4 linked regions of the Tamandua tetradactyla genome follow. The protein of the gene in region 3 purifies or fractionates together with the protein of the main gene of each other region. This does not show direct contact. Links are inferred from orthologs where the notes say so. Each region holds a gene or a part of one and is shown on either strand. Other genes may lie near its edges.

Region 1 (7,839 bases), on a different chromosome or scaffold from region 3:
GGGTCACATCCCAGTTTATAAATTTCCTGCGACGTTACAAACATCTCAGCCTGGTGTTGAAGTTCTCCTTTTGCCATCTCAGGACTAATCTTATCACTTGCTCCCCAGTAGGAACTCTCCATCCGGTGAGCTCATCTCTTCACTGTCCCCTGAAGACACTTTATAGATGAATGTCTCTATAGACCCTGTTTTTCTGCCTGGCCTCCTCCTGCTGTGTTATTTATTCAAATCCTTTCCTTTTTAAAAGGCCACCTCAAACCTCACCCCCTTGAAGACTTTCCTGACCAATCAGCCCCAGGGATTTTGGGCCTTTCCTTCCCTCCCTGCCTCTCACCCCTACGTTTGGATCACACTCTGTCATCTCATAACCACTGCAGTTTTTAAGTATATGCCTCGCCAAGGATGTATACCTCTCTTACGTCCCCTGCTACCCTGAGAAATGATCATAGCAGGGACACTTACTTAATGTTTTCTACTGCCTTTGGCCAGAAAGCTTATTGACCAAAGGCTGTTGAATGAAGAAATGTTTCACACCTCAAATACTAAGCAGTGCCAAGAAATACAACTATAAACTTTAAGATTATCAAGAATAATCTGAATGAGAAAAGCAGAAAATGGTTATACCATGCAGGAGAGATTAGATGGATCTAATAAAAAATATGAAGGCTGGCATTACAATATGTGATACCTTCAGAATAACCTTTCCTATGGGACAAACATTCCAAATTGTTGTTTTATTTCTTATGCAGTAAAAGATCACAATAAACCAAACCAGACAAGTAGTGGTAGAGATTGCTATAAAACTGTTGATATTCTCACAGTTAATACCAGTTTCCATTTTGGAAATCATGTTAATAATTTCTTCTACTATTATGAAACCTTACTGTTTATAGGGCTTTCCATCTCATGATATGCTCAAACAACTCCATGAAGAAATTAAGATGCATTTCCTATTTCTTTACCAATGAGGAAACATAAACAATGAAGTTGAGAGAGACGCCCAAGGTCACAATGTTGGAGTCTTCAGACTTTAACTCAATTCTCATTACAATAATTAGCCCATCTCCAGACACAAAGTCTATCCAATTGTAGTATAATCTTTTCTCTTACACTAGCATCATTTTTAAAGAAAATTCTCCAATCTTTAGCATTCTTTTTATGTCATCAATAAAACCAGAGGCAAGCTGTATTTCTTGGCACTGCTTAATATTTGAGGTGTGAAACATTTATTCATTCAACAGCCTCTGGTCAATAAGCCATAAAAAATGAATGACGTTCTGATACATACTACAACATGGATGAACCCTGATATGTTGAACGAAATAAGCCAGAAACAAAAGGACAAATACTGTATGATCTCATTTACATGAAATAACTAGAATATGCAAATTCATAGAGACAGAAAGACTGGCTGGCTGGGGTGGGGCTGGGAAAAGGAGAGTTAATGCTTAATGGATACAGAATTGATGGAAAATTTTGGTAATGGCTGGTGATGGCAGCATAAGATTGTCAACAAATCACCTTCAAATTCTATAGTGAGAAGTGGTTAAAATGGGAAATGTTATATTGAATATATGTTACCACAATAAAGAATTTTAAAAAATAGGCAGAAAAATAAGAAATAATTTTACATTACAGTTACTTATCTACAGAGAGCCATTGAGAATGACAGGACTGGAAGACTCAAATCTTTTCATTTTACTGAGAGAGATCTTTCCTGGTTTATTGGTGCCACATTTACTGTGAATTTTCACATCTATTCTAAGTCATAACTCAAAACTTCTGATTGACTCATTTTCTAATAAATGCCTCCTTAACATTATGGAGACATTTAGTTGTTGGGAACTTTAAAGCTCTCAATATAAAATTCAAGCTGAAAGAAAATTAAAATACCCAAATTAGAAGTTGGAAGACCTGAGTTTTAATTCTTTTCTTTTTCTCAGAGAAATCACTTAATATTTTTATTGCCACCTATAAAAAGGGGTAATGAATCCCAACTCTTTACACCTTAGGGATACACAGAAAAATGGAAAAAGAATTTGAGCATTTTGGAGCTAAGTGTTATCTGATGGTAGGAAGTCATTATCTGTGATTAATGTTTAATATATTATTATTTGTATGAAGATTTGTGGTTTTTTTCCCCTGTCTATGTATCTCAAAAAGTTGACATCCTCTTCTCTGTTGGCTATACTCAAGGAAGGTTTCCTAGGTCTTACTGCTTTATGACCTACACAAATTATTTCCCTCTCTGAGCCTCAGTTTCCTCACTTGTAAAATGGTATCCGACTCATGGTTGTGGGAGAGATTAAGTGGGACTATGCACATGCAGTGGTTAGCATGGCAAAGCTGATATTTCTCACCAAAAGCAAATTAATTTTCTCAATTTCAAATATGTGCTCAAAAAAATTTGCTGTTAATCCATTTATATCCCATCATTGTGTAATGGAAAGATTACTGCGTCGGGAGTATGGGAGAGATCCTTCCTGGATTATTGGTGCCACATTTACTGCAAATTTTCACATCTGTTCTAAGTCATAACCCAAACTTCTGATTGACTCATGGCCATAGTGATAGCAAGTTACTTAAATCTCTTTGTCTTTAAATGAGGGGGTGAGATTAGATATCTCTGATATAACTTCCAGCTCTGAAGTTCTGTGGTTTAGTGTTTTTAAAAAATATATAATTTATATTAAAATCGAGTTTCAATAAAATTAACATAGGAGGTATCTCATGATTTAGCAATTTGTATTTTTATTAAATCTATTTCAGATGAAAATTTTATTATGAAACGTTTAAAACGTTTAAACGTTTAAAATATGGAAAGGTATGGGAAGTGATACATGCACTGTCAATCATTTTAAGATAAAAAGCATTTGTTTTTATAGATTTGGAAATATTGTGGGTGAAGTGTATTACATTTAAAGGTACAAAAATAAGATCGAAACCTCAGCTAAAAAATGGAAATTCCTTTGGATGCCTATTGTTGCTGGAAGAAAGGTATCTTAATACCGTGTGGCATGGGTATGATAATAGGTAGAGGCCAAAATAGAGAACAAGCCTCTCTTTTTAGGAACATTTCATCTAATTGAAATGGGATGAATATAATTTAGCAACATAAAACATGGACCCTGAATTTGAGGTGCATCTCATTTGTAATTAGAAGTCTTCCATGGAGATCCAGGCATGGTGGAAACACCTCTCCACATAGAATTGATTTGGGTTCAAATACTAACTACTTTCCTTTCTATGAAATGCATTTGGGATGCCAGCTTTTTTTTTTTCTTCTTATGTTTGGTCTACAAACAATGTGTTATAGAGTTAGACACGAAATTCTGGTAAATATCAGCAGTCCAGTGGGACCCAAGTTAATATAGAAAAGTCCCTTTGGAATCAGAGAACATTTTACATTCTAGATAGAATATGAGATACAAATGAAGTAGTTACTTAAGGTACTGCCTTTAAATTGTTGAGTGTAACTGTGCCAGGTTTTAGAGAGTGCATTTATGATGCATATTAAAACCACTGTGACATTCAAAGAGTCAAACATGTCTGATTAGACTTTCATATCCTGTATTTATAAAAAGCTAAGTGATGCAGCTCCTCAGTACAAATTATTTAACCTATGATAAATTGTAGAGGAGGATGTATTATTGTCGTTAGTTCTCCTTTCTGCTTATCCCATTTTCATAAGACTGACGGCTTTAAAGTATTATCACCATCACAAAAAGCATTACCTCCCCCCTCCGCCACTACACACTATCACTGAAAGGAACAAAAAGTGCCTGCCCTATTCCTCTACTTGTATTCAATCTTGATTAACCAAGGGAGGGGACTCTCAGAATTAATGAAGTTCAGATTTGGGACATTTGGGGCGGGGCTTGGGCCATCTCGGTAAAACAGAACGTAAACACCTTCTCCCCCCAAAACAAAACAAAACCAAACAAAAATCAAAGGCGATGCTGTTGCTTCTATCAGCAGCTCCGGCTCAGACGCTGCACCGAGCTTGCGGTCGTAAGCTCCCAGCTTTCTGGGGCCGGGGCGGAGTTCCCCGGGTCGGGCCCAGCCCTGCGCTCCCAGGACTTTCACCTGCTCGGCGGGCGGCGCCGGCGGCGCGGGGGGCGGACCCGGCAGCGGGCGGGGCCTCTGCACCCGCGGGAGGAGCCGGCCCGGGCCCGCCCCGCAGGAGGAGTTGCTCGCTGGCGGCTGATCCGGCGTCTCCGTGACAGGCGCCCAGCTCGGCCGCCGCCGCCGCCACCTTTTCTTCCCGGATCGGGCTGCCCGCACCATCGCTCCGGGGTCGGCTCCGCGCCTCGTCCCGCCTCGGGCTGCGGCCTCGCGTCCGCCGCTCCCCTCCCCCGGCCGGGGCGCCGCGCCGCCCGCTCCGGTCGCCGCCTCCGCCGCCTCTCTCCTCGCCGGCCGGAATTGCGCGGCCACAGTGCGGCTCGCGTCGCCCGCATCCGCGCCTCCCGCCCGCGCTTGGCCCTCGGCGCCGCCCGGGGTCCCAGCTTCAGCGGCCACCTCGCCGCCGGGACGCCCCTCGCCCCGCGTCCTAGCCCGAGCCCGTTGCGCGCGCTGCGCGCCCGGCTCCCGCTTCCCTTCCCCGGGGTCTCCCCAGCCTCTTCCTGCAGCCGCCGCTGCCTCTGGAGGAGCGGGTCCACCTCGGGTCACCATGCCCAGCAAAACCAAGTACAACCTTGTGGACGATGGACACGACCTGCGGATCCCCCTGCACAACGAGGACGCCTTCCAGCACGGCATCTGCTTTGAGGCCAAGGTGAGGGGGGCACGGGCAGGGTATTGCCCGCGAGGGGCTTGTCTGAGTGGATCTGATGCACAGCCATCCTGGAGACAGCTAGAGGACTGAGCTGGTTAGGGGGCTTTTCTGTTAGGGTGGGTGACACCCCTCCTCAGCATAATTCCACGGACTCCTGCCTAGAACTGCTAAGGAGCAACTAAAGTTTGAGCGGTAGTGCTTCGCCCTCTTCCTCCTACCTGCAGACTCCCCCTTTCTTACCCGCCAAAGGATTGGATTGAATTACTTCCCGATCCTTCGGGCGGGTGAGCACAACCTGTACTCTGGTCCTTGAGGATAGGGAAACTCTGCTGTTATTTACCTGCTGGGCTCCCGTGGGAGAGGTGCTTTCAGGAATGGAGCCCGCTTCCTGATTGAGGAAAAGCCTTTTTTCCTCTTCCAAGTTCAGGGGTGCTTCTCTAGAGTCTAGGTAGGGTCCAGATGTCAGTCACTTCCTAAATGCTTGATTTATCAGGACTCCTTTGCAAGTGTGGGGGAAGTGCTGCCCATTTGTTGGTTTTGTGGCTTGATGTTTAAGTTTCAGCTGCTAACAGAGAACTACTGTTGAAGAATTTAGGAAGGATAACTGGAATTTTCAGTGCTCAGGCCAAAGCCCCAGGTTCATCTTTGGGGCGGGATAGGGGTATGGGGCTCTGAACTGGCCCATCAGGTGAATATGTGATGTCCCTCCTGGCAGAATTCCAGGTGGGCTTCCTGTGGGAGAGGGCTCCTCCCTGGCAGTGTTTCTGCTCTTCCTTCATGCCTCTTGAAACCCCATTACATAAACATCAGGAACTCAGCAACTCCTGTGTGCCTGCCACTGATAATCTTTAAAAACTGCTCCTTTTAAAATATTGGGTCTTGCTGGTTTTAAAACTTTGTAGTTTTGGCGTGCAGTCAGTTTTACCCTTCCCTTTTTCTCTTTCACCACTATGTAGATGCAGGGTGTTAGTATCTCATGCAGAGATTATTCCATCAGGTGTCTCTCTATTTCCTTCAATTCAAGAAACATTTTTCCAGTGCCTGATATGTACCTGAAGGTGTCAGTTATTGTAAAAGTTTTTTTCTTCTCAAAGACGTGCATGGATTGGTGAATCTTACTTTTTTCCCTCCGAATAACCTCTCCCCAACCGTATTGACTAGAGCGTAAAGACCCCTCCCCCCCAGACATTAGACACGGCCATGGAATTCAGAGCTCAATTACTGGATATAGTTGGCATCAGAATGGGGCTGCAGCTGAGATGTTATCTTGCTTCTCTGGATAGATCTGGTCAGCCTAAGATGGGATGTTTGGGTTGATTTTTGTCCAGTCCTGTTGATTTGGTGAGCTTATTTTTAAATTTTAAGGTAGGAGTTTTCATCAGGGTCATGATTTAGCTTTCTTGGAGATATTTATATATGTACTGGGAAATCGGCTCTTGCCTTGTTTGGTTCACCAGTGCTCTGTTTTGCAAGAATGAGAATAAGAAGGGAGATCCAATTTAAAGTGTTTTTAAGCTTTCTTATTTATTCACAAGTTCTCTGCAAGGTCCCAGCTGAGGGTACAGAAGTGTGTTAGGAGAGGATATTGAAAATTCACATTCCTTCTATCGCCCAATTCTAATTTGGTGGGATCTGGGGGCAGCTGAGTAGTGTGTGCCTTTAACAAGCATCCCAGGTGATTCAGTGGAGGTGATTGGGACCAGACTTTGATAAATACTGGGCTTGGGGCTGGCCTCCACCTTGCTCAATCTTACCCTTCCTTTCCTAGCACCAGGTGTGCAGTTTCTTCTCTAAGCGAATGCCTGGGAGTTGCACGCTATAATTCCTACAGTGACTTCCCAGGATTCACAGGCAGTGGTGTTTGATAAGAGGAGAGGGACCACATTTGCTCCAAGCTCTGTTCCCAGTGCAGATCTAAGACCAAGGATTCTGGTCTGAGAATGATGAGGTAGAGAAGAAACGGCAGAAGGGAGGTGGCAAGGCTTCCTTGGGGAAAGTCTGTCCTTGAGGACCTGAGTCTTAACTTCTAGCTCTTGGTAATCCGTGTTGGACATCAGTATATCCGAACACCGTGTCATCCGCGTGGCGGATGAATAGAGGTGGAAGCAAATGCTTTTCTGTTCTCTGCACACCATCTGACAAGCACCTTCTCTGACTGGTTTCCACATCCCAGCAGAGTACGCCAATGGGCTGTGCAATCACTGGGACTTTAGGGTTAAATCCATATCACACTCTTTCCCTTGTTTTGGAAAAGCGCAGGCTGTAAAATGCAAATATATTAAATCGCCTCCTTGTCGAATGCCCTTGGAAAGTGAGCCCAGATCTTTCTCTTCCGAGAACTAGCAGTTTTTCATAATCAACACTGGGTGAATGGAGTGACCCGTTGAATGTATGCCACACATTTTCAGGTTTCTGCTAAGATTGAAAGGTTAGGATCAGGACTGAACGGCCTCTGGGTTCTATACATGTAAACACACAAACACCTGTGCGTAATCATCAAGCAGACTCCTAGATGAATTTCACCTGTGGTACCTCATTTACTATCTCCGAGGCGGGTCTCCTTGTGTTTGTTTTATAAATGAGGATATGGGTTTATGGAGATTATTGCCTGCCTTAGTGCACACAGCTGTCTATGGCAATGCCAGGTTTCAAGTCCCAGGAACTTTGACTTCAGACTCCTAAAATGCAGTGCTTATTCATTTAATAAATGTGTGTGGAGCACTGCCACCGTGCTGGGTAGTGGTTTGATTCACAGCTCACGGTGGGGCACCCTCAGGTTGCTGGCTCCTAGGACTCTGATGTAGCTACTTATTCAAGCCTGTACTGCTGGGCTGTTGCCAGATTTCACGTTGGCCTGGGAGTGGCTCACGAGGGTGAACTGCTTCCTGCCTTCACCTGGCTCCTGGGAGGTACTGGGGGTGGGGGTGGGGAGTGCTGGCGAGAAAGTGCTGGTTACACTTCGATCTCTCAGTACCTGCCTTTCCTCCCCAGTGACCGCTACCATCAGCTGAGTGTCTCTACTTGCTTAATAAGGAGAAAAAATGAGGCAGCAGGGCTTCTAATGA
Region 2 (7,830 bases), on a different chromosome or scaffold from region 3:
AGGCCAGGTACAACAGGAATATCACCATCCCAGCTCCAACTATTTCTTTTTTATCAGTTTTTTTTTAATGATGTATTTTACATACAGTACCATTCACATCTTTTAACTATCAGTTTGATGAGATTTGATAAATGTACACATTTATGCAACTACCACCACAGTTAAGATATGAACATTTCCATCACCCAAACAGTTCCCATGTTAGCCCAACTTTTAGGATAATATCTTATCTGGGGATTTCTGGACCACGTAGGTAGGATAAAGTAGAAATGTGTGAACCCCCTAACTGCATGTGGCTTAGATCTAAATTACAATTTTTCCAAAGAGATTATTTTTTCTAAATCTGAATCCAGGCAAAGGCAACCTTCCTGTTTGCTGGTAGGAAGATCCCTCTTCTTCCCCACTCCCTCCAGTCTTTCTTTGCTGGTGTAGTTCTTTGAAGGCTCTGGCATTTCATGGGTGTCTTAGTAACAACTTCTTGCTTTGTATGGCCCTAAGACAAGTCCTGTACCTGCTGGATAAATTCCATGGTTAACAAGCTGCTGTGCCTAGTCTCAGCTGCCAGGTTTAGTACTTTGGTTTTTTAGTCCTCCCTCTTCCTCCTTTTCTGACACACAAATTTTAATGAAGTATAATTTACATACAGAAACGTACACAAATCATAAATAAATAGTGCAATACCTTTTCACAAGTGAACACACCTGTGTAACAAGCACAAAGCTCAAAAAAAAAGAGAACATTACTAGAAATCTAGCACACTTTCCAGTTACTACCACTTCCAAAGAGAATCTTTATCCTGACTTCTATTAATTTAGCCTAGTTTCAAATTTTATATAAATGAAATCATTCAGTATATACTTTTTTGTGTCTGGCTTTTTTTCACTCATCATTGTGTTTGTAAGGGTCATTCATGTTGCTTCATGCAATTCTAATTCATTCATTCCCATTGACTCATAATACTTCATTACGTGAATATAACAGAATTTATGATCTAGCCCACTATAGGTTGATATTTAGGTTGTTTCCAGTTTTCCTCTTTGCTTTTGGACCCTGGGATTTCCTTCTATTTTATTTTGCCCTCTGCTGTACATTTAATAGGATTTAGAAAGTGTTTCCTGGTCACTATTTCTAGATGTTCTGTGTTGGGATATTTTAGTTTTTGTAGGCTGCCAAATCTCCAGTTACTCATATGGTTATTTTTTTTGCTGAAATTCTTATTTGATTCTCACCTGACTTACCTTAGGTGATGACTGTGGTTTGTAGAAATAGTTTGGATTTCTGTGAACCAATAATGAGTGATAGAAAACAGGAGAACAACAGAGGTGTTAAGCTATATAATTGATCTTGAAGTCATGATCTCTTGCCGGGGGAGATGCTGGTGAGCAAAGTTAGTTTGGCATTAATGGATGTAAAATATGGAAAAAACAAGTTAAAGAAATAGGGGTGGCTGAAGACAGTAATTGTCAGAGGTGTGGATATGGTTGTTTGGGTCCAGGATCTTCTGGCTAGTTGTCACCAAGGAGACGAAATGAGAGAGACACTCTCTTGATGACTCTGTGGTATGTAATCAATGTGTTGCCAGAAAAGCCACTCTAAAGCGGACCTGCTTTTGCCCTTCAAAAGTAATTGCCCTACTAGACATGTGATTCTCAACCAGGGGCATATTTGGCAATGTCTGGAGACATTTTTGGTTGTCATGATTGGCGGCACGTTACTGACATCTAATGTGTAGAGAGCCTAGGGAAGCTGCTAAACATCCTAGGATGCCCAGCACGGCTCCCGCAACAAAGAATGATCTGACCCCAAGTGTCAGTAGTATGGAGGTGGAGAAACCCTGTATTAGGTCTAGGTACTAGATGCAGCCTCTAAATCAAACACGCATTTAAATAAACACTATGAGCTATCTTTTAGGAAGTGATAACCCCACAATGATATATTCTTCTATTTTTCCATCAAAATTCTGTGATAACTAGTTTTGTGATAACCAGCTCACACTTAGCTCCTTTAATTCTTTTCAAAACCCTAACAATGGCTCTGACAACCACCAATCCATTCAGAGTTTGAAGAGAATCACTCAGATTGCACATTTATGTAAGTAGATATGTACAGCAATTTATTTATAGCTATGAAAATCATTGTAATTTTATTGTTGGAAAAAACACCAAAGTTCCAAGGCTATAGGGTGAATCAACTGCAAAGATGGCACTAAACAAATAAATATTTTGCTGTTATGCCTTAAAATTAGATTACAAGGTATTGTTTTCCTTTGTTTTTCTAGTTTTTGCAGCTCGGATTTAGTACAAAGCTAAATTTCATTGTTTCTTCAATGGAGGTGATTATCTAAATTTGCCCCTCCTTCCTCCAGGCACCACACACTAACATCTATTCTTCTGATTCATTTCCCCTAGAAAGCTGCAAGGGAGTTTTATAATGATATTATTGGTTTTGTAACTGGTGATTCCATTGTAATGCTATTACTGAGCCAGTGTTGTGATAAATGGTCTGTTTATAAGGGGAATCACTTTTACAAGAAATAGAAAATTAGACACACTTCTGCTTTGCAATAACATTAAAACCACAGTGAAAAAGAAATTCTCCGGTTTATTCCCATCTGTAGCAGCAGGGAAGCCTTAGAAGATGGCTTTCTCCCTAAAGTCTTCTAAACATGATTACTGCCTACACATACCATGTCAAAATGCAGATTTCCTCCAAATCCTATTCAAGACCAAAGCATTCTTAAGCTTACCATGACGTGGGCCCTTTAAGAAAGCCAGGCGCTTCAAACTCCACCCCCTCTGCTGACTTGAAGCAGTCAAGCTGCCTTTTTGAGGCAGTTAGTTAGTGATAAAGCTGAGAGGGCGCCAATTTGCCCCCTGCTCTGCGGGGAAGGAATGTTCCTGTTGCTGTAAGCTCTAAAAGTGGAAGCTTTAGCTACTATGGGATAGGGAACAATAGAAACATGTGAACTATGGAAGCTAGACCCACTCTTAAGATTCTTTCACGGTGCTGAATAAAGGGGAAAGAATGTTGTTTAATCGGAGCTTTCCCCTGCGGTGCTGCTCCCTGCTAGCTTTACTCTTCCATTTCACACGGCCAGTGAGTTTTCTAGAGCCGTTTCCAATTTAACAAGCTGCTTATATCATTTACCCAAAAGAAAAAGCTAGGAAGACATGTAAGTTTCAATGAAAATTAAACCAGTTCACTTATAACAGAATTATTTAGATTCGCTTTGTTTCTGAAGCACACAGCCATATTTTGGTCACACCAACAGGGTCTAAGTTCAGAAGTCCTCCAGCAGTAAACTAAAAAACAGGAGAAATTTGGGATTTAATTGCAGTTGGCATTTCTGAGCTGTCTGCTAGGAATAGCCACCTCAGTAAAAGATGATGTCATTTGGAACATTTGCAATTTAGAGTTTATTCTGAGGTACCAGTTTCCATTAGCCACTGAATAATGGTTTAATCATTACATCAAATTTAGGTGCAACGATAAGGTAGGGGATAAAAATCATTAAAGCCATTTCTTTTCCTTCCTAACATTTTTATAAACCTTTCAAAAAGCTGAAAGCAGTAGGCATTTTTTTTTTTTTTTTGCATGGGCAGGCTTGGGGAATCGAACCAGGGTCTCTGGAGTGGCAGGCGAAGCAGTAGGCATTTTAAACAATTGTTTTATTGGTAGTATTATTTTTTCTCTTTTGTGTTTCCTGTGTTTGTTCTTTCTTTGACCAAGCTTGGAAACTAAAACTAGTCCAGCCAGTTTCACTTTCCAATTTTTATACATAAGTGAAAGCTGTTTTTTTTTGTGCCAACAGTGTGGTATTTAGAATCAAATCACCTGCTGGGCCAATTTCCCGCAACTGGTTTTTGGGAGGGGGAGGGGAAATAAAATTTGATTAGGAATTTCTTATGCTTCAAAGCTAGAATCCTGTATTAGACCATATTAAAGTAATTAAAGTTTTTTTTTAAAAGCTATTAAAGTTTTCTAAATAAGGGTAATGATCATATTTTCTTTCCACTTGACCATCACAAATTTGTACAGCAGAATGCTATGCTTTCATTTACTTTGGAAATTTGGCACTTACATGTGTTTCAATATTTACACCAGAAGTGTTTCTCTTCCCTTTCTGACTTTGAATTAAATAACTGTTAGTGTCTTAATCCTTTTGGTTGACATGTGTTGATACTGTTTGCAAGATGCACAAAGAAAAAAAAATAATTCTAGCTTGCTTAAATAATTGAGCGCTGTGTAGGTTTATGAGATTAGGAGGAATAGAGAGGGCGATGTGCCTCTTCGGCAAATTCTTTTTTAACGAGGTTAGCCTGTGTCTATTTCACCCTACTCTGCTCCTTGGAGGGGAACGTTCTGTTCTCTTTGCTCCATCCAAAGCTTCTCAGCCAGTACTGGGAAGATAAAACTGCAAGGGCCGCGTTGATGTGTGACAGACAGAGGGAGTTACCCGCACACACAAATCGGCGGAAGATGGGGCCACGACACGACCGGGGCTGGGTGCAGGAGCCAGGCTGACCTTTCCACGTGTCCTCAGCACCTGCGAGGCTGGTTGGGCATTGGGTTTCTCTTTCGCCGGAGTAGGCGCGAGCCCGGAAGAGGCTGGGCTGCCGTGGTTTAGGTCAGGGGTCTCGGAGGCCCTCCCCCAGACCACGTGCGGACTTGGAGCTGGTGGTTCGGACGCTGGCCTGGCTTTTCCGCACCCGCAGTGCCCCCACGTCAGCAGCTCGCCTGCGGACGCCAGGAGACGGGACGGGACTGCGGGCGGGTTCCCGCAGCTTTCCGCAAGCCTTGTAGAGCGGCCTAGCGAGCGCGCCAGGCCGGGCTGGAGCGAGCCCCAGTGCAATACTGCCCGAGCCCGGGCGGGGTCTCTGTTCTCTGGCAGAGGAGGTCCCTTGGCAGCGGGAAGCTCTCTCTCTTTCTCTCGTCGCCGCTCCGAGTCTGCGCCCTGGTGCCAGGCGCTCAGCTCGGCGCTCCCCTGTGCTTGCCCGGCGCCCACTCATTCGCAGCCCAGCCTTCGCCGCCGCCGCCTCCCTGCTCCTCCTCCTCCTCCTTTCCCCAGCCCGCCGCGGCCATGGCGGACAGCGCCAGCGAAAGCGACACGGACGGGGCGGGGGGCAACAGCAGCAGCTCGGCCGCCATGCAGTCGTCTTGCTCGTCGACCTCGGGCGGCGGCGGCGGCGGCGGTGGCGGCGGGGGAGGCGGCGGCGGAGGTGGGAAGTCCGGGGGTATTGTCATCTCACCGTTCCGCCTGGAGGAGCTCACCAACCGCTTGGCCTCGCTGCAGCAAGAGAACAAGGTGCTGAAGATCGAGCTGGAGACCTACAAACTCAAGTGCAAGGCGCTGCAGGAGGAGAACCGAGACCTGCGCAAAGCCAGCGTGACCATCGTGAGTGCTCCCCCGGGGCGCGCCGCAGCGCCGACCTCCGCCCGCCTCCGCGAGCGGCTGCATCCCAACCCGGGCAACCCTATAACCCCCACTCCCCAGGCTCCTGGGGATCTGCAGCGAACAACTCCTCGCTGAGACCTGCCCGCGCCCGGAGAGGAGGGGGGTGGTGTCTGTTGCGGGGGGAGAGGGCATGTGTCCTTTAGGTGGCCATGGGGGTCTGCCCTTCCTTGTGGTCCGGGTCCCTCGCGGGGTTCGGGGAAAAACAGTTGGGGCAATCCCCGACGGTTTCTTTTCGCCTTTGGGGAGGAGGCCGCTCCGGGGCAGGGCTGCAAGCTGGCGGCGTGGCTGGGGGGCGGGGTGGGACTGCTTCAGTCTTAGCTTGCCTGTGGGGTGCGTCCGGAATCTAGGGGAACCCTAGGCTGGGAAAGAGGGAAGAAGCATGGCCCTGTTCCAAGGGCCTGGTTTGAGGTGCGCAGCTGGGCTGGGCACTCAGCTGGTATCTGGACGGCTCTGGCGGGATCGCCCGGGGGTGGGGGGTGGGGTGGGGCGGGAGATTGACCGGGAATCCGGGAAGTGGAGTTCTCTGGTCAGGATCGAGAGAGAAAGGCGGGCACCGGCGCTGGTGCACCCTCCTCTGTTGGAAAACCATTCCTTTCGGGGCGGGATATATATACGGGAGAGTACAGCATCCAACACTGACCTAGACAGCTGAGGCCGAAACCAGAGTGAGGGGTTGCGGCTGCGACTGTCTTGCTGAGCAAGCTGTCCGTATGCTTCCTCATTTGGTGGTGGAGTGTGTAAAGGTATATTACCTCCGAGTCCAGGTACTCGACTGAAGAACAGGCCATCTGTTTTCACCTGGTCCCTGGAGGCTTCCCAGAAGGGTAAGGTTAGGTCTGTAGTTCTGTCTGTAGTGGGCTGTGATGAGGGGAAACATAACTGGAAAAAGTACACTGTGTGCTCTTAACATCCCTGCCAGCTTGCCACATCATTAACATGCAGAATCCTCATACAGACAACTCTATTCAGATCAAAACAGCCACCCATCCAGGAGCAGAGAAGAAAATGTCAAGGAATCAAAGGAATAAATTGCCTTAGCTGCTGGACAATAGCTGATTAGGTGGATTCTTCAGATGAGAAAGGGGAGAACTTTTAGTATGGATCAAAGGTCACGGCCTGGAAGTGAAATAGGGCAAGTTTAGGATGACCCTGTGCCAGGAAAGGGTCTTGAGTGGAGGAGTATGTGTGTTGCCCCAAAATGAGCTTGTGCATGGGAATTGGATGGCATTCTTAATTCGTTTCGAAAGCAGGTTTTCCATCGGAATTTGCTGGCAGCAGCCTAATTAGGAATTGATTGTAGAAAGGCACTTTGTATGTTCGAACCCAGTCCTGGTGAACGGAATTAGAGCAACATTCACCCATATCAAGACTATTAAGTTTCTGAAGGGCCCTTAAGGTAGCAAGGGGGAGGAATTTGCAGAGGCAGCCTCCAAGCCTCTTTTGTAGGCTTTCTTGACTGAGAGAAATATCTCAGCCTGCTGGGATCTTGAAAAGAGGGAAACGTTGATGTTGCCAGTTTATTTAAGGTTTGAGTGAGTAAATGAGAGGGTTGCTCTCTTGGAGAATTTGAACCACCAAAAAGTAGTGAAACTTTCCTGAAACAGAATCTCTAGCCTCTTGCCTACAGCCAGCAATTCAGGCTGTTTTTGTTTGTCTGGGATGGAGGAATGGCTGGTGGGGGGTGGAGATGGAGAGATTATGAAAGGGTTATCTGTTTGACACTTTGACCATACTATAAGTAGGTCTGTAAATTGTACACAAACATGTTGGCTCTGCACAGTCAAAACACGTTCACTCCTGGTATAAAAGACCAGAGGCCTTCTGAATACGTGGATTGAGAAGTGTGTAAGGTGATGGCTTTATTTATTTATTTTTTTAGCACTAAACCTCAGCTAAAGTTGACATTTAACCTAATACACTTTGTGAAGTATTCTGTGGCTTTACATTAAAAAAATGTTTTGGATGACAGCCTAACAAGTACCACTACTAGAAGCTTCTTAGTTCTTTTCTTATCTCTAATTAATATATTCAGGGAGACAAACTTGTGGTTCAGCTGGGTCTCCTAGTACTGGGCAGGTGTTGGTTACTAAGGAGCTGTATGACAGCTGCAGAGAAAAGAGTTCCTGCAGGCATTTAAGGATTTTGTTGATTGACTTAGGATCCAGAGTGTGATGGGATTGGTTTTCAACCATCAGGTATGTAATTGGGGAGGAGAAACGTGCAGACTCCATGAAATGGGTTTGTGAATGTTTGAGTCCATGGAACATGATTGTGGTGGTTTATGTCAGGGTTAATCTGCGGCATCCCTGGCACCTCTCACTTAAAAACATTACCCTTGCTAGTAGCTGCCTAAGCTGTTTATCACATTGCCTAGA
Region 3 (7,716 bases):
CAGAGGCTGATGATTTTCTAGTCTGATGTACATATTCTGGACTTTAAGACTGACAAGGTAGAAGGAACTTAGGAAAGCCTTGCTTGTCACTTGGGCCTGGGAGACAGCTGTCTGGCCCTGCAACATCTCACCCTTGTTACTGCTGAAGAAAAACCGCTGGCCTTTTTGGACTCCTGAACAGGACGCAGACTGAATCACTGGAAATTTAGGCCATCTCTCCGTAAACTCTAAACCATGAAAGCATCATGGATGCTGGCTGGACCATCACAGGAAGGGGCTTGTTCTCTATTGGAACCATAAAATCAAGCTGCAGATCAGCCCTGGATCTTTTTTTTTTTTAATTTATTTATTAATTTAAAAAATTAAGAACAAACAAAAACATTAACATATAATTCCGTTCTGCATATATATTCAGTAATTCTCAGTATCATCACATAGTTGCATATTCATCATTTCTTAGAACATTTGCATCAATCCAGAAAAAGAAATAAAAAGACAACAGAAAAAGAAATAAAACAGTAATAGAAAAAAAATTATACATACCATACCCCTCACCCCTCACCCCCATCTATCACTAGCATTTCAAACTAAATTTATTTTAACATTTGTTCCCCCTATTATTTATTTTTATTCCATATGTTCTACTCGTTTCTTCACAAGGTAGATAAAAGGAGCATCAGACACAAGATTTTCACAGTCACACAGTCACATTGTGAGAGCTATATCATTATTCAATCATCTTCAAGAAACATGGCTACTGGAACACAGCTCCACATTTTCAGGCAGTTTCCTCCAGCCTCTCTATTACATCTTGAATAACAAGATGATATCTACTCAATGCATAAGAATAACCTCCAGGACAACCTCTCCACTCAGCCATTGACACTTTGTCTCATTTCACTCTTCCCCCTTTTGGTTGAGAAGGTTTTCTCAATCCCTTGATGCTAAATCTCAGCTCATTCTAGGGTTTTTCTCAATCCCTTAATGCTAAGTCTCAGCTCATTCTAAGATTTCTGTCCCACGTTGCCAGGAAGGTCCACACCCCTGGGAGTCATGTCCCACGTAGACGGGGAGGGTGGTGAGATTGCTTGTTGTGTTGGCTGGAGAGAGAGGCCACATCTGAGCAACAAAAGGGGTTGGGGGTGACTCTTAGGCCTAAATTTTAAGTAAACCTGACCTATCCTTTGTGGGGTTAAGTTTCATATGAACAAACCCCAAGACTGGGGGCTCAGCCTATAGCTTTGGTTGTCCACACTGCTTGTGAGAATATCAAGAATTCAACTTGGGGAAGTTGCATAACTCCCTGTTCTCATCATTCCCCGAAGGGGGCTTTGCAAATACTTTTCCACTCACTGATCAAATCACTTTGTCAGCCCTGGATCTTAATGCAGGGGCTATTTGGATTCTTGATTTGGGATTCTTGCCCAAAGCTGCGAATTGGGGGAGATCTCATCACAGGGACTGTGTCCCCTCGACTTGCTTTTGGCAGATCAGACTCCACCTTCTCTGGAGATAGCTCACTGCTGATGTGTTCAGCTTTCCAGATTGCTTGCAGTTTGCAACAATGAACTGTTAGTCCCTCTGCTTACCTCCCCTTTCTCCCCTTACACACACCTTAGTGAGGTAGATTGATTATTAAAAGCAGCTGTCCTCAGAAAGGGAGCGCTCTTTTGCAGGCTGCTCACTGGGTAAATAATCAAGACAAAAGGGGTGGGAGGTTATGAAACCCCATTTTAAAAGTTTTGAAAATTAAGGATTTTGTCCTGACTAATTCCTGAATGTGTCTTTCTGGTTAAGTTTTGAAAAAATATTTTTCTGCCAAAATGCTTTCGTGCTTCTTGCACACACCTCTCCCCAAGTAAAGGCCTGGGTGAGAAAAAGGGATGATTGAAAAAAATATCAAGTTAGAGTTGTTGACTGGAACCCACTGGTTTTGTAACAAAAGAGGAAAAAAACCCAAAACCTGGCATCCTGGGAGGCATGAGGGAGTGGGGAGGGCACTTTTGATCTTTGCTTTTCAGTACTGTTCCTGGAAGCTTTCCCTTCTTTCTGAAGGAAAATTCTCAGTGCTGCCTAAGTGTTGTGAGCATTTCGAATTCCAACTGCTGAGCCTAGGGTCACACCTGGCAGCACTCAATGGGAGACAAGGGAGTGACCCTGTTCCTGCACTTTCATAAAGATACCTTCAAGTGTCATTCACACTCATGAGATGAATGAACACATATCGTGGACAAGCAAAAAATGCTTGTAACTGACTGCCTCAGTGCGCGCCTCTGAAACCAAGAGCTGAATTGAATTTTTTGCTTGATTGAAAACCCCAGGATGGAAGCCCCATAATTGAAGGCCACACTGGGGCCCTGTGAAGCTGAACAGCCCAACTCGTAGCTCTCCTGCTTGGGTACCTAACATTTGTAAACTGTGTTTCCAGGGTTACCATGTGTGTTCTCTGGGTTTGTACTTTTTGCACCCTAACTATCATGACACTGCCTTAGCCCTGGTATTCTTTCAGGTCAGCTTCAATTCATTGGCCTAAGTGGGCTGTGCACAAATTTATATCTCAGAGCAGGTTAAAAAAAAGCTTAACACAGAAACAGAGGAAATAACCTGCTTTCTAAGCTAGGCTTTTATGGTTAATGGGATTTGTTTTAACTGGCTAATTCCAGGAATCCTAAAGGGCATAACTGAGATTGGTGCTGCAGATTAGTCTCACCCTGCTGTGTTGGGGTCCTGCCTTAAAGAAGTCTTGGTCAAGGGCCAAGGGGATGGACTATGCAGAATAGAGTTGACAGGAAGCCTAAGACTGTTCTCCTTAGGGCTGTTTGCAAGACTGGCCCTTGGCTGGCATCTGGGAACTTAGTTTCAGAAAGGCTCTCACCATACTGTAAATGATAAGGGTGGCTCACTTTGCCTAAACTGTACAATCAATGTAGTTTATGCTGAGCATTTGCTTTCCTTCTGGGCATCTAGAGTTTTTCTCTGTGCTAGCCAGAGGGTGCCTATATGACAAACTCTCCAGAAAACCCTGGGTATGGAGCCTCTTTTAGCTTCTCTCGTGGACATTTTACATCTCTGGAAGAATTAAGCACATCCTGTGTGACTCCACTGGGAGAAGACTTTTTTGGAAGGTTTTTCTTGGTTTCCTCCAGAATCTGCCCCATGTGCCTTTCCCTTTGCTTCATATCCTTTCACTATAATGCATCATAGCTGTGAGTACAACCATATGCCCATTCCTGGGAGTATCCTAGTGAATCATCGAACCAAGGAGTGATCTTGGGGATCCCTGACACAGGGGCTTCTTGGTGGTGTTTACACAGGGTGTGTTCAGTTTGTGGGAACTCACTGAGCTGTGCAATTATGATGTATGCTTTTTCTGTAAGTATACTGCATCTCAATAAAAATGTAAAAGAAAAAGAGTAGAAGATTATACATCATGGGGATAAAAAACAACTTTTTAAAAACCTTCCTATTCAGCAAATATTTTAGTAACCCTTTTTAATCAGGTATTGCACTAGAAGCCTGAGACACAGGTTGAAAAGACAGCATGCCTCCCAGTTTAATTGGAAGGCAGGTGATCATAATGTGGTTGATTCTTGCTGGGTTCTGTCAGGGACATCATAGGGCTCTAAGGGAACACAGTGAAGGTACTTCTAACCAGCATTTTGCCATTTCATGGGTGTTCCACACAAGTGCTACAAAAGGCAAAGGGGAGAGGTGGAGACTTGTTGATTGGGAAGATGAGTAGGCCCGGTATTGCCAGAGTTTCACATTTTTTCAGGGAAAGCCATACGTGAATTTTTATGTGAGCTCTCATTTTAAATTCTGTAAATTCAACTTTTTTTTCTTTTAAGTGAGGCGGCCAAACAGAACACTCCTGCAGGTCAAATTCGGCTATGGACTGCCAGTTTGTTAGTCATTCATCCAGCCAGCCTTCCCTCTCTGAACAACAGGTGGAATGTCCACTATTTTAGGCACTGGAAAACATAGCAGTGAGCAAATCAGACTACTTTCTTGCATGGTGGGCACTCTGGAATGGTACTTCTCAAACTTCAGTATGTGGGGCGATCACCTGAGCAGTCTCGTTGAAAGGGATTCTGACACAAGAGGTCTGGGATGGGACCTGAAAGGTTGCCTTTCTAACAAGCTCCCAGCTGATGATGATTGCTGCGGGTCCCTGGATCATACTTCTGAGTAGCATTCTTCCATTCAGAGGGACTGTTTATTTGTAGGGGTTGGGGAAGGGGGGCTAAAATGACTTGTTATGGAGGTGAATTTGCCTAGCGAGCATCCGGTTTTTACTTAGATTTTAGCTTACATTTTGGTAGACGGAGTGGGAGGTGGGGTAGGTGGAGGAGGGTATTAGGAAAAGCTTCCTGGAGGAGGTGCATGGGAATTGCAGGAACTCCCCTAGCGGTCCGCGAAAGGAAGAAACCTAGAACTCGTCTCCTAGGTGTGGTTTCCCAGGCATCCCACGTGTCTGTTGCCCAAGCGTCCCGTCAATTAAGTTTTTCTTTTTTTTCGGTGCTGGGTAGGGGGTTTAAAGGCGGCTACGATACAGAACACTCCCATGGTGCCGCGCGGCGGGCGGGTTTGGATTTTAAATCCCCGCGGCCAATCAGTGGCGCGAAGGGTTTTGTAACGTTCCCAGCGCCGCGTTTGAATTCCGGAGAGGAGCAGGTCGCAGCAGAGCGTCCGCCCCTACCCTGCTAGGTCTGCTGAGCTACTCCAGGAGCATGAGTGCGGCGGGGACTGCAGGGAAGCTGGCGCGGGTTCCTGGCGAACCTGGAAAGGCCGGGGCCCCGGGAGTTGCGGCACCCGGGGCCACAGCGGCTGCCCCGCCGGCGAAAGAGATCCCGGAGGTCCTAGTGGACCCGCGCAGCCGGCAGCGCTATCTGCGGGGCCGCTTCCTGGGCAAAGGGGGCTTCGCCAAGTGCTTTGAGATTTCCGACGCGGACACCAAGGAGGTGTTCGCGGGCAAGATCGTGCCTAAGTCGCTGCTGCTCAAGCCGCACCAGAAGGAGAAAATGTCCATGGAGATATCCATTCACCGCAGCCTGGCCCACCAGCATGTCGTCGGCTTCCACGGTTTTTTTGAGGATAACGACTTCGTATTCGTGGTGCTGGAGCTGTGCCGCCGGAGGGTGAGGGTTACTGCTGGGGAGTTGGAACTGCTTGGGGGCCGGGAAAGGGCGCTCGGAGCCTCTGGGGAAGATGTTGTGGGAACTTTGAGCCAGGGAAGGAAAAGATCGCGGGTAGGAAGTATTGGCTGTTGGGGGAGGGGGTCCGATTAAGTAGAGCCGGAGTCGTTTTGCTGCTAGGGAAAGCGGCCCCTGGACACGAGGTGTTGCCCAGGGTGGGGAGAAGGGGCGCGGGTTAGGGATCGGAAGTGGGGATGGGAGAGTTGGTAATAGATGCTAAGGGAGGAGTCCTAGGTAAGGACTGGGGTGGACCCGGAGCTTCCAGAGTGGGGCTGAGGCCCGACTTCGGAGCTTCTCAGGAAGAGATGGGTCTGAAAGAGGATTTGGAGCTGCAAAAGGCCCGCGGAGGGCTACTGGGGACTCTGAGCTTCCGGAGTAGGGCTGGGAGAAGGGTCTCGGGTAAGAGGCTTCAGAGAATAGAGCTACCAGGAGACTGGGCTTGCAGTTGTCTTGGAGAAGGAATGGAGGTAGGATTGCGGAAAGGGGAGAGCCTGCCAAGACCCCTCCTCACATTTCTCTGCATGCACCCGGGGTCCAGATCCAGTCCTGGGCTGCCTTTCCTTAGCGACCCCTCCTAGCACCTGGACCTCAAGGCCTCCTCCCCATTCTTCCCCTCCTTTCCTGGCCCAGTCCCTGCTGGAGTTGCACAAAAGGAGGAAGGCACTGACTGAACCCGAGGCCCGCTACTACCTGCGGCAGATCATCCTTGGCTGCCAGTACCTGCACCGGAACAGGGTTATTCACCGGGACCTCAAGCTGGGCAACCTCTTCCTAAATGAGGATCTGGAGGTGAAAATAGGTGAGGTGCTGGGCCTCCACGGGTGCTGAACACCCCTGGAAGAAGGGAGATTGAGGAGGAGGTGGGGGAAGGAGGAAGAGGACAGTGGGAAGTCTGGGCTGATAATTGACTTTGGATCCTCTCTTTAGTCCAGAAATTTTAAAGAGCCCACAAGCCAGTTTCTTACCTGCCGAAGCATTTTTGTACCCCTATAAGTCTTTAAAAAATTTTTTTTGGAATTAGTTTCTGATTTTTAAACTGGGAAACTTGACATAAAAATATGTCCTTGGAGCTCCTTTTAAACAATTGGAAGCTCCAGCAACACGGGCAGCATTCCTTCAGGGCAGCCCTTTGCTGAGCTGAGAGCAACTGTCAGCTTTAGACTCCCTGTAGCTTGCCAGTCCCCACCCTTCCCTAGTCCCCAAGCTTGTTGCCTAGTCTAAGTCTTTGAGGTTACTGGCTTGAACCCTAAAGGCTTTTGAATTTTTTGTCCCTACCAAGCATCCTTTTAGACGCATAGCCCTCATTTTTAAGAGGAAGGGTGGGGCATGGGGCACTGGGAGGCACCTCCCTGTGAGGTGGGAGGATTTCTGGGCAAACCTCATTGGTTGTTGCAGGGAGTAGAGGCCTGTGGGATCAAATGACCCTGGGTCTTGATAGACACAAACAAGCTGTCTGCATTGACTGATGGCAGAGACAGGCATCCAAGTTCCCCCCTTTCTCCCTCTGTCCCAGGGGACTTTGGTCTGGCAACCAAAGTTGAATATGACGGGGAACGGAAGAAGACCCTGTGTGGGACTCCTAATTACATAGCTCCTGAGGTGCTGAGCAAGAAGGGGCACAGTTTTGAAGTGGATGTGTGGTCTATTGGGTGCATCATGTAAGTAGGGAGCTGTCTTAGGACCCACTCAGCCTCATCAGGGCCCCTTTTGGAATCTCACTTGGCTAACCTTATCCTGTGGATTATAGTCTAGTCTAAAAACAAAGTTAATTTCCTTATCTTTCCTTGTTACTCTGGAGTATCCCACAAGCTGGGCCGTGGGTCCAGAGAGAGAGGGTGGGGTAGCTGTCCAAAGATGTCCACCACCTTGCTATAGACCCTGGCTGCTCAGAGTGTCACGTGCAGACCAGCAGCATCAGTGCCACCTGGGAATTTGCTAGAAATGCAAGCTCTCAGGCCCTAGACCCGCTGGATCAGAATCTGGATTTTAGCAAGATCCCTGGGTGATTCTCACACACATTAAAGTTTTAGAAACACTGATCTATGAAGCAGCACTGAGCAAGAGGAATTAGACTGGGAGTTATTGCTGGCAGGAAGAGGTGTGTTCTCAGGTTAAGACCATCAGAGTGGAGTGGGGACTCCATGGTAGGCAGAGACCCGGGCCTTTTCAAGTATTATCTCTGTTTGTCGTTGCTGGTCTGGGTACTGGAGAATTAGAAATGAGTAGTAGCAATGACTTTCATACTTTCTGGCAATGGAGCTATTTTTCAAAATCTTAAGTCTTCTCTTCTGCATAGAACTATAAACGTGAAGTTGTTTCCATAGAAACAGGGAGACCATCCACTTTAATCTGTCTGTACGGCAGGTAGCCTCTTTACCTCTTCTGCAGAACCTTAGATTACTGTGGGCTCTAGTTGAGAAATCACTGGCCCATAAGAATTGTGCTTTTGTCATCTGTATTATCCTGAGGACTCATCCCAGCCACTGTCCTGGCTTCTGAGGGTGCTGAGTAGACGTAAGAT
Region 4 (8,194 bases), on a different chromosome or scaffold from region 3:
TCTAGCCTCTGAAATACAGGGATTGCGATCCAACTAATGGTTATACGTAATTCATATTTGCAAGTAAGTTGCAGAAATGATATGTCTTTTTACCGCTAAATATTTTAGTGTTTCCTGAAAACGAGGACATTGTCTAAAATAACCGCAGTAAAATTATAAAAATCAGGAAATTAACACTGATACAATATTAATTAATTTACAGATATTATTAAGATTTTATCAATTTTTCCAATGCTGTCTTTTACAGCACTGCATTGCATTCACTTGTCATGTATCTTTCCTCTCCTCTAATTTTTAATCTTTCTCAGTTTGTCTTCCTTACATTTCCTGTTATATATTTTTTAAATGCAGGCCAGGTATGTTGTAAAATGTTCCTCAATTTCAATTTGTCTGCTGTTTTTCAAAATTAGGTTCAGTTTAGGCATTTTGAGCAGGAATACCACAGAAGTCCTGGTGAGATTAATGTTAATCACTCTAGTAAGATGGTGTTTGGCAGGTTTCTTTAGTGGAAGTTCTTATTTTTCTCTTTGTCATTATTAAGTATATTTTGGGGAGATACTTTGAGACTTTCTAAATAGTCTCAAATAATAGATACACCCAGACTGTGTATCTTTACTAGAATCCTATGCATCCTATTACTCCGCAAAGTTTTACCCACTCGTTTTAGCACTCAATGAAGTCTTGCCTGAGACAATTAGGATGACGATGATTATGAAGTTCATAAATATATAAATATATAAAAAGGAGCTTTTCCTTTTCCCTATTATTTATTTATATCAGTATGGAATCATAGATTCTTACTTTGTTTAGACGGCAATAGTCTGTTTTACTATCATTATGTATTTTGCTACTAAAAGTTTCCCAGATTTGGCAAGTTTAAGTACTTTCAAACTGACTCCATGTTCCCATATTCTTTGAGCACCTCCTTGCTTTCTGGCACAAGATGATCCAGCCTCATTTTTTACTTTTCTGCCCAGAATTAGCCATTTCGACAAGCAGCCCTATTTCATTTTGGCAGAATATAGCATTTCAAAACTTTGAATTAAAAATTGAGTTACCCTTGATACCTGATATGTCATTAGTCCTTGTTGAAGAAGTGGGAATCTCTGAGCTAAGGACAAAATCTTAACCAAAGAATGGTCATTATCAATAAGTTTTAAGTCTAGAAAGACCCAAGATTGCCTATTTGGAATTTTATCTTTCAGTCTAATGAGAATGGCTTCATTAAATTTACAGTAAAAACATCATCAATCTGGACATTATTTAGAATCTGGCATACCAAAAATGGAACTGCATTGTTATTTGCCTCAATAATCCCTCCTATTTTTTAATTACTTCTGTCATGGAGCAAGTGTCAACATCTATCACATTTACAAATACATTTCCTCCTTGGTTCAACAGTTTTCTTCTGTGAATCTGACAGTTACACCGCGCTATGGGGGCTGCTTAGAGCTACCACCCGTCTAGTTTCGCCTGGACGTGGTGTGGCTGCTGGGCCAGCCAAAGGGGCCTCATTAATCTGCTTCAGCCTTTTTCTTGGCTCTCTTGGTGGTGGGACCCAACCAGGGCCAGCACTGCCGGCAGCTGGCCCACTGGCCAACCTACCGAAACTGAGCTCTCCTCAGAGGTCCTAGTTACTTTCTATCTCTACAGTTTTGCAATTTCTAAACATCTAAGTGAGCTCATATGTGTCCTTATGATGCACAAAAGTTTTTAATTCTGATGAAGTCCAATTTGTTGTTTCTTTCATTATTCGTGCTTTTGGTGTCATATCTAAAAATTCATGGTTGAGGTGCAACTTTCTTTGTTTTTTTACATGTGGCTATCCTGTTTTCCCAAAAGTATCTGTTGAAGAGACTCTTCTTTCCCACTGAGTGGATTTGGCACCTTTGTCAAAAGTCAATTGGCCACAGATGTGTAGGTCTATTTCTGGACTTTTAATTCTATTTTATTGGTCTATTTGTCTATCCTAATGCCAATATCACACTGTTTTGACTACTATTGTTTGTAGTAAATGGTAAAATCACAAAGTGTAGGTCCTCCAACTTCATTCTTTTTTTTTCAAGAATGTTTTGGCTATTCAGGCCCCTTTGCAAACATGAATTTGAGGATCAGTTTTTCTACTTCTGCAAACAGTGCTGCTGGAATTTTGATAGAGATTTGCTGAATGTGTATATGACTTTAGATTGTGCAGTAGTTAGGTTCAGGTGTCACTTTGCCCAGCTGATTGTGCCCTGTTGTTCTATGGCTCAGGACTTAAATCACCAGCGTGTGGAATTCATGCATGGCCGATTCCATCTGCTAAAGGGTGTGTCTTCCTCAATGACTGACATCCAGTTTAATTAGCTGGAGGCTTAATAAGGGAGGTCAGAAGAAAGCTCAGCAGCTCAGACCAGACCTTTGGAGATGCAGAAAAAATTGCCTTGGGGAAAGCTGTTTGAACAGAAAAGCTGGGAGACAAGGCCAACAGACATCGCTGTGTGCCTTCCCATGTGAAACTCAGATGAAAGCTAGCTGCTTTTCTGCCAAAGAACTGTAAATTTGTAACTAAATAAATCCCTTTATAGATGCCAGTCCATCTCTGGTATATTGCAGTCCAGCAGCATTAGCAAACTAAAACAGGTAGTATTGTCATCATAACAATATTAAGTCTTCTAAACCATGAACATAAGATGTCTTGTTATTTATTAAGGTCTTCTTTAATTTATTTCAGCAGTGTTTCATAGTTCTCCATGCATATTTTTCAAAACCTTAGTTAAATTTATTCCTTTAGATGTTATTTTAAATAGAATTGTTTTCTTGATTTCCTCTTCAAATTGTTTACTGCTATCTTACTGAAACAGAACTGAGTTTTGCATGTTGATCTTGTGCTGAATTCATTTATTAGCTTTCATAGTTCTCTTGTAATTCCTTTAGATTATCTATATATAAGATCATGTCCCCTGTACATAGAGATGGTTTTACTTCTTTTTCAATCTGGATGGCTTATATATCTTTTTGTTGTCTAATTTCTCTGGCTATAACTTTCAGTACAATATTGAGTAGCAGTAGTGAAAGCGGATATCTTTGTTTTGTTCCCTATCTCAGAAGGAAAGCCTTTAATCTTTCACCATTGAGAATGATGTTTAAAAATGGCTAAAATTTAACAGACAGACAATATCACTTTCTGGTGAGGATATGGAAAAATTGGAATTTATCTATCTTGCTCAGGCAAGTATAAATTGTCACAACTAATTTGGAAACTGAAATATCTATTAAAGCTAAACATTTACCTATTCTAATATCCAGATAGTCCATTCATGAGCATAATCCAAGTGACATGATTATTTATGTCCACCAAAATATTTTATAAAAGTATGCATAGCCTTTTTATTCATAATAGCTCCACATTAGAAACAACCTAAATGTCCTTCAACAGGAAAATAAATAAACTGTGGTATATCCACACAGAAACACTACACAACAACAGAGTACAACTAACTAACATTACTTGCAATGCATGGATAAATCTCACAGGCATTAAGTTAAATGATAGAAGCCAGACACAAAAGACTATGTCCTGATATGTTTGTAGTTTAGAAACAGGCAAAGCTGATCTATGGTAATAGAGATCAGACTAGTGATTTTCTTTGGCAGTAAAGAGTTTGGGAAGAGACTTTGGAATGCCAGAAATATTTTATATCTTGATAAGGATGGTGGGTCTTTGGTTGATTACATACATAAAAATTCATCAAATGGCACTTAAGAATTAAGATGTTCATGTTAATTCAAGGAAGTTAGAACTCAATCAAGATTTTTTCTACATGAAGGGAAAAATGATGCATAAGAAAACAATTCCAAAAAATTAAATGTGAAATGGAAAAAGTTAAATTGAGCCATGCTGTAATAAGCACATTGTGTGTAAACACATTGTCCACCTTCGCTTGGAGGGCACTCCTACAACATGAGAGCTCTTCTGCAGATTTTGGAAGTGAGACAATATTTAATAGGTCCACTTATTCTTCAATGATATTTTTCCTCCTGGAAAGTTTTGGATTCATCTGCTTTCATTGAGCTTATAGTCTAGTTAAGCAAAGAACTCCTTTGCAGAAAAATGAAAGGTCCCTGATCCCCTTTGTAAAGTAAGGGACAATTTTAAAAAATTGGTGATGGTGGGTGGGGGTAGGAGTGGAGCATGGTTTTAAAATCCGCAGTGTGTTTTGTTTTTAAATTATTTTCATTTTTGGGAATCTTTAAGCAGTCTTTTAATTTCTAATTCCTTGGGAATTAGCCAATTGTGCCAGTTCACTTTTTTCTTTTTAATGTAATTTTATTGAGATATATTCACACACCATCCAATCCACCCAAAGTATACACTCGGGGGCTCACAGCATCATCACATAGTTGTATATTCATTACCACTATCAATTTTAGAACATTCTCATTACTCCAAAATAAAAAGTAAAAATAAAAAACCCAAACATCCCATACCCCTTGCCCCTCCATCCCCCATTATTAACCCCAGCTTTGTTACTGTCGAAAGAATATTAAAATATTACTGTTAACTATAGCCTATAGCCTTCAATAGCACACATTTGTTATAGTTCATTAAAAAACGGTTTTATATTTGTACTGTCAATCACGGTCATCATCCACAAGGTTCTCTCTGTTATAGAACCCAATCGTGTCTGCTCACTTTTTTAGCTCTTTTAATCTTATCAAACTAAGTTCTATTTCTGAGGATTTTATTTATATTATTCTGGTTTTGAATTTTACCATGCATCAGTCTGTTAGGAGTCAATGACCCACTGTAATCCGCAAAGGCTAAAAACGCGATTTGAAGGTTTCCACGGTTCTTAGGGCTTTAACCAAGCCCCGCCCAACCCCTCTCTCGCGAGACTTCGAACCGGAAGTGACATATCGCAAGCGTCTGGGAGTGGTGGCGGCCCTGTTAATGTTGGCGGGAGTTGCCCGAGTGTCCAAGTCTCCTCGCTGTCCCGCCTGGGCTGGCTGTGGTCTGGGGGTTGCCGAATATCCCTGTTTCGGGCAGGATGCGGGTGGCTGTGGCCGGCTGCTGCCACGGCGAGCTGGACAAGATCTACGAGACGCTGGCGTTGGCGGAGCGGCGCGGCCCGGGGCCAGTGGAGCTGCTGCTGTGCTGCGGCGACTTCCAGGCGGTGCGCAACGAGGCCGACCTGCGCTGCATGGCCGTGCCGCCCAAGTACCGCCACATGCAGACCTTTTACAGGTGAGGGGCGCGGCCCGGCCGCCGGTACGGCTCCGGGACTAGCCAGCCGGGAGGGAAGGGCCTGGGTTGGGTTCGAATCCCCTTCTGCCACCTAGCAGCTCCGTCTTCTGAGTTCTTGGATCTGTTGGCGCCGTCTCCCCAGGGTTGGGCGCGCAGAAAACGTCACTTTCCTTTTTTCCATTCACTTTCCTTATCTGTTTCATAAAGGATCGCAGACGAGGGGAATAAAGTAGCACCCGGCGGAAGAAGCTGTCCGCTTTAAATATCTACCTAGTGCTTGATAGGACTCTGGGATTAGTTTATTTAGTACTCCGGGAGTTTTTTAATTGAATGCATGCTATGTTGCACGTTCCGGTTCTAGAAGCTGAGGTTATTGCAGTGTACGGGACCAAATTCTTGACGTCAATTGAATTTACACTGGCTTGAAACTCACGTGGCAGCTCTTCATTCTTAAAGACATGAATGGGTACTGTGCAGTTCGTCTAAAAAGGGCTTTTTTGATTAACTCAGCTTTTTCATGTTGACTTTATTTTGCCTGTCTGCTACGCCTTATGAGGTAACGGACAACTTTACCCTTATGTTCCAGGTATTATTCTGGAGAGAAAAAGGCCCCAGTTCTCACGATCTTCATTGGGGGAAACCATGAAGCTTCAAATCATTTGCAAGAGCTACCTTATGGTGGCTGGGTAGCACCAAACATTTATTATTTAGGTATGTGTTCTTGGCAAAGTTTTTGATTTGATGATATGGAAGAGTCTGTCAAGATTTGTATTGTCAGTTAGGAAGCATCTTGAAATGTGTGATGTGTTGGAGAATGTCACTTAATTACATAATCATGACAGTCTAATTAAATAGTAATTTAAATAGTTAATCATGAAAATATATTCATGTTTTGTTCAGTGATTACTTTTTTTTTTTTTTTTGCATGGGCAGGTACTGGGAATCTAACCTGGTGTCTCCAGCCTGGCAGCCGAACTCTGCCTGCTGAGCCACCATGGCCTGCCCTATGATTACTTTTTTAGCAATGATTAATTTAACTTTTAAGATTTTGCACACTATTTGAAATTCCTTTATTTTTTTGTTACTTTTTATTACATTAAAAAATAAATTTTTTATAATGGAAATTGTTAAACCTACACAAAAGTAATAAAAACCTACTTTTTATTACATTAAAAAATAAATTTTTTATAATGGAAATTGTTAACCTACATAATGACCCTCTGTACCCTGTCTAGTTTCAGCCACTATTGTTCTGCCATCCTTGTTTTTAGTGTCCCAGCCCCACCCCTCCAAGCTGTTCGTGTTTGTGTGTGTGAGTAAGGGATGATTGGAGCACTTTAAAGCAAATCCCAGCTGTTACATTATTTGATTATTTCACCATTTTATTTCATCATATTATTTACATATGTCAATATAAATTTCTAATTGACAAGGCTTTTTAAAAATACCACAACTACAATGCCATTATTATACCCAACCAAACTAAACAATTCCTTATTAACTGTTGCCTAGTTTATATTCAGATTTCTCTGCTTTCTTAAAGATGTCTATTTTATAATTGATTTGTTTAATTAGAGTCCAGTTAAGGTCCACCTACATTTCATGTGTTTGTTCCCCATTCCCTTTTTTCTTTGCTGTTCATTTATTGAAGAAAATAGGAAAATAGTGCTGTAGAATTTCTTGCATTCTGAATCTAACTATTAGATTCCTTAGGTTGCTGTTTGTTTGTTTTGTTTTGGGGTTTTTGTTTGTTTGTTTGTTTGTTTGTTTTTGGCGTGGGCAGGTTCTAGGAATTGAACCTGGGTCTCCAGATGGCAGAAGAGAATTCTGCCACTGAGCTACCATTGCCCACCTGGGTTGCTGTTTTAAGTTTTCCTTTCATCCACTGCATTTCCTGTAACCTGGCATTTAGGTTTAGAGGCCTCATTAGATTCAGTTTCAATTTTAGAAACTACAGTCCTTTCTTCTCTTTATTTAAATGCCTTATTTGAGAACAGTTATGGGTTTTTTCAATGAGAAATCATAACTTCAGAAAGTCATTTTCTCTTCTTACTGATTGATCATCTTTTGACACTTGCAATATTGTCAAAAGATGAAATTGTCAGAAGCTAATCAATTGGAAGTGAATTATAGATACTACAGGTTCTTTATACCTTATGCCTGTTGACTTTTAGATGTATAATGTCTAAGTCCATCATAGGACATTTTCTCCTATTCCTTCACTCACATATTCAATTAGGTTCCGGATTGTATCAATTTTCCTCTTAATATCCTTTCTCACTTGTCCCTTTCTTTCTGGTTAGTCTTTTGGTAGATCTGCCTCTAGGTCTCCCTTTCTACCTTCTTTGTGTACCTCATAAGCGGTTGACTTATTACTATGTGAAAGAGTAAGGTCATCATGATACATATTTTCAAATAATTTTAAGACTGCATGAAGTTCAAGCCTTTAATTATGTCATTCATTTAGTAAATAGATTGCTTTTGCTTACAGCAATTTTTATTTAACGCTATAATTTTTCAGGTTTGGCTGGTGTGGTAAAATACCGTGGTTTAAGGATCGGTGGACTCTCTGGTATCTTTAAATCTCATGACTATCGAAAAGGTAATGTTTTTCAACTTTAGAATTTGCGTGCCCCTGAGTAGCATAAGCATAATGAATAATTTGACTATTTATTTTCATTGAGTTTCTTTGAACTGGCTATTCTTAGCTTTTCATTATAATGTATTTTATACATATAAAAATATAGATAACACCAAAACATACCTGTGTATCTGACATCCAGTTTTATCAGATATTTTGCCATATTTACTTCTGAATTTTAAGAAATAAAAAAGTACAGATAAAATCGAAGCTCATTGTTTACTTGTCCTCAATCCCATTACTCTCCTTTTCATCTCTCCACCTCCCTGTCAGATAGCAGGCAGTTACTATTCGGAATTTTGGTGTTTATCATTTTCTTGATATTT

Evidence for each region.
Region 1: the proteins of PLK1 (region 3) and NOS1AP purify together in Homo sapiens (affinity purification with mass spectrometry; 3 studies listed by BioGRID and IntAct, counting the BioPlex papers as one, with this or other methods). This does not show direct contact. The link is inferred for Tamandua tetradactyla from reciprocal best matches to the Homo sapiens genes PLK1 and NOS1AP.
Region 2: the proteins of PLK1 (region 3) and CCDC6 purify together in Homo sapiens (affinity purification with mass spectrometry; 3 studies listed by BioGRID and IntAct, with this or other methods). This does not show direct contact. The link is inferred for Tamandua tetradactyla from reciprocal best matches to the Homo sapiens genes PLK1 and CCDC6.
Region 4: the proteins of PLK1 (region 3) and DBR1 purify together in Homo sapiens (affinity purification with mass spectrometry; 3 studies listed by BioGRID and IntAct, with this or other methods). This does not show direct contact. The link is inferred for Tamandua tetradactyla from reciprocal best matches to the Homo sapiens genes PLK1 and DBR1.

Annotation. Positions count from the first base shown.
Region 1 is NC_135330.1:15,203,358-15,211,196, forward strand, and holds the start of NOS1AP (carboxyl-terminal PDZ ligand of neuronal nitric oxide synthase protein), read left to right. Parts: upstream 1-4,583; 5' UTR 4,584-4,669; coding exon 4,670-4,774; intron 4,775-7,839. UniProt on the Homo sapiens protein: Adapter protein involved in neuronal nitric-oxide (NO) synthesis regulation via its association with nNOS/NOS1. The complex formed with NOS1 and synapsins is necessary for specific NO and synapsin functions at a presynaptic level.
Region 2 is NC_135339.1:37,348,613-37,356,442, forward strand, and holds the start of CCDC6 (coiled-coil domain-containing protein 6), read left to right. Parts: upstream 1-4,456; 5' UTR 4,457-5,080; coding exon 5,081-5,395; intron 5,396-7,830.
Region 3 is NC_135349.1:33,375,557-33,383,272, reverse strand, and holds the start of PLK1 (serine/threonine-protein kinase PLK1), read left to right. Parts: upstream 1-4,620; 5' UTR 4,621-4,730; coding exon 4,731-5,138; intron 5,139-5,825; coding exon 5,826-5,994; intron 5,995-6,708; coding exon 6,709-6,853; intron 6,854-7,716. UniProt on the Homo sapiens protein: Serine/threonine-protein kinase that performs several important functions throughout M phase of the cell cycle, including the regulation of centrosome maturation and spindle assembly, the removal of cohesins from chromosome arms, the inactivation of anaphase-promoting complex/cyclosome (APC/C) inhibitors, and the regulation of mitotic exit and cytokinesis.
Region 4 is NC_135341.1:82,103,566-82,111,759, reverse strand, and holds the start of DBR1 (lariat debranching enzyme), read left to right. Parts: upstream 1-4,872; 5' UTR 4,873-5,030; coding exon 5,031-5,227; intron 5,228-5,813; coding exon 5,814-5,938; intron 5,939-7,748; coding exon 7,749-7,829; intron 7,830-8,194. UniProt on the Homo sapiens protein: Cleaves the 2'-5' phosphodiester linkage at the branch point of excised lariat intron RNA and converts them into linear molecules that can be subsequently degraded, thereby facilitating ribonucleotide turnover.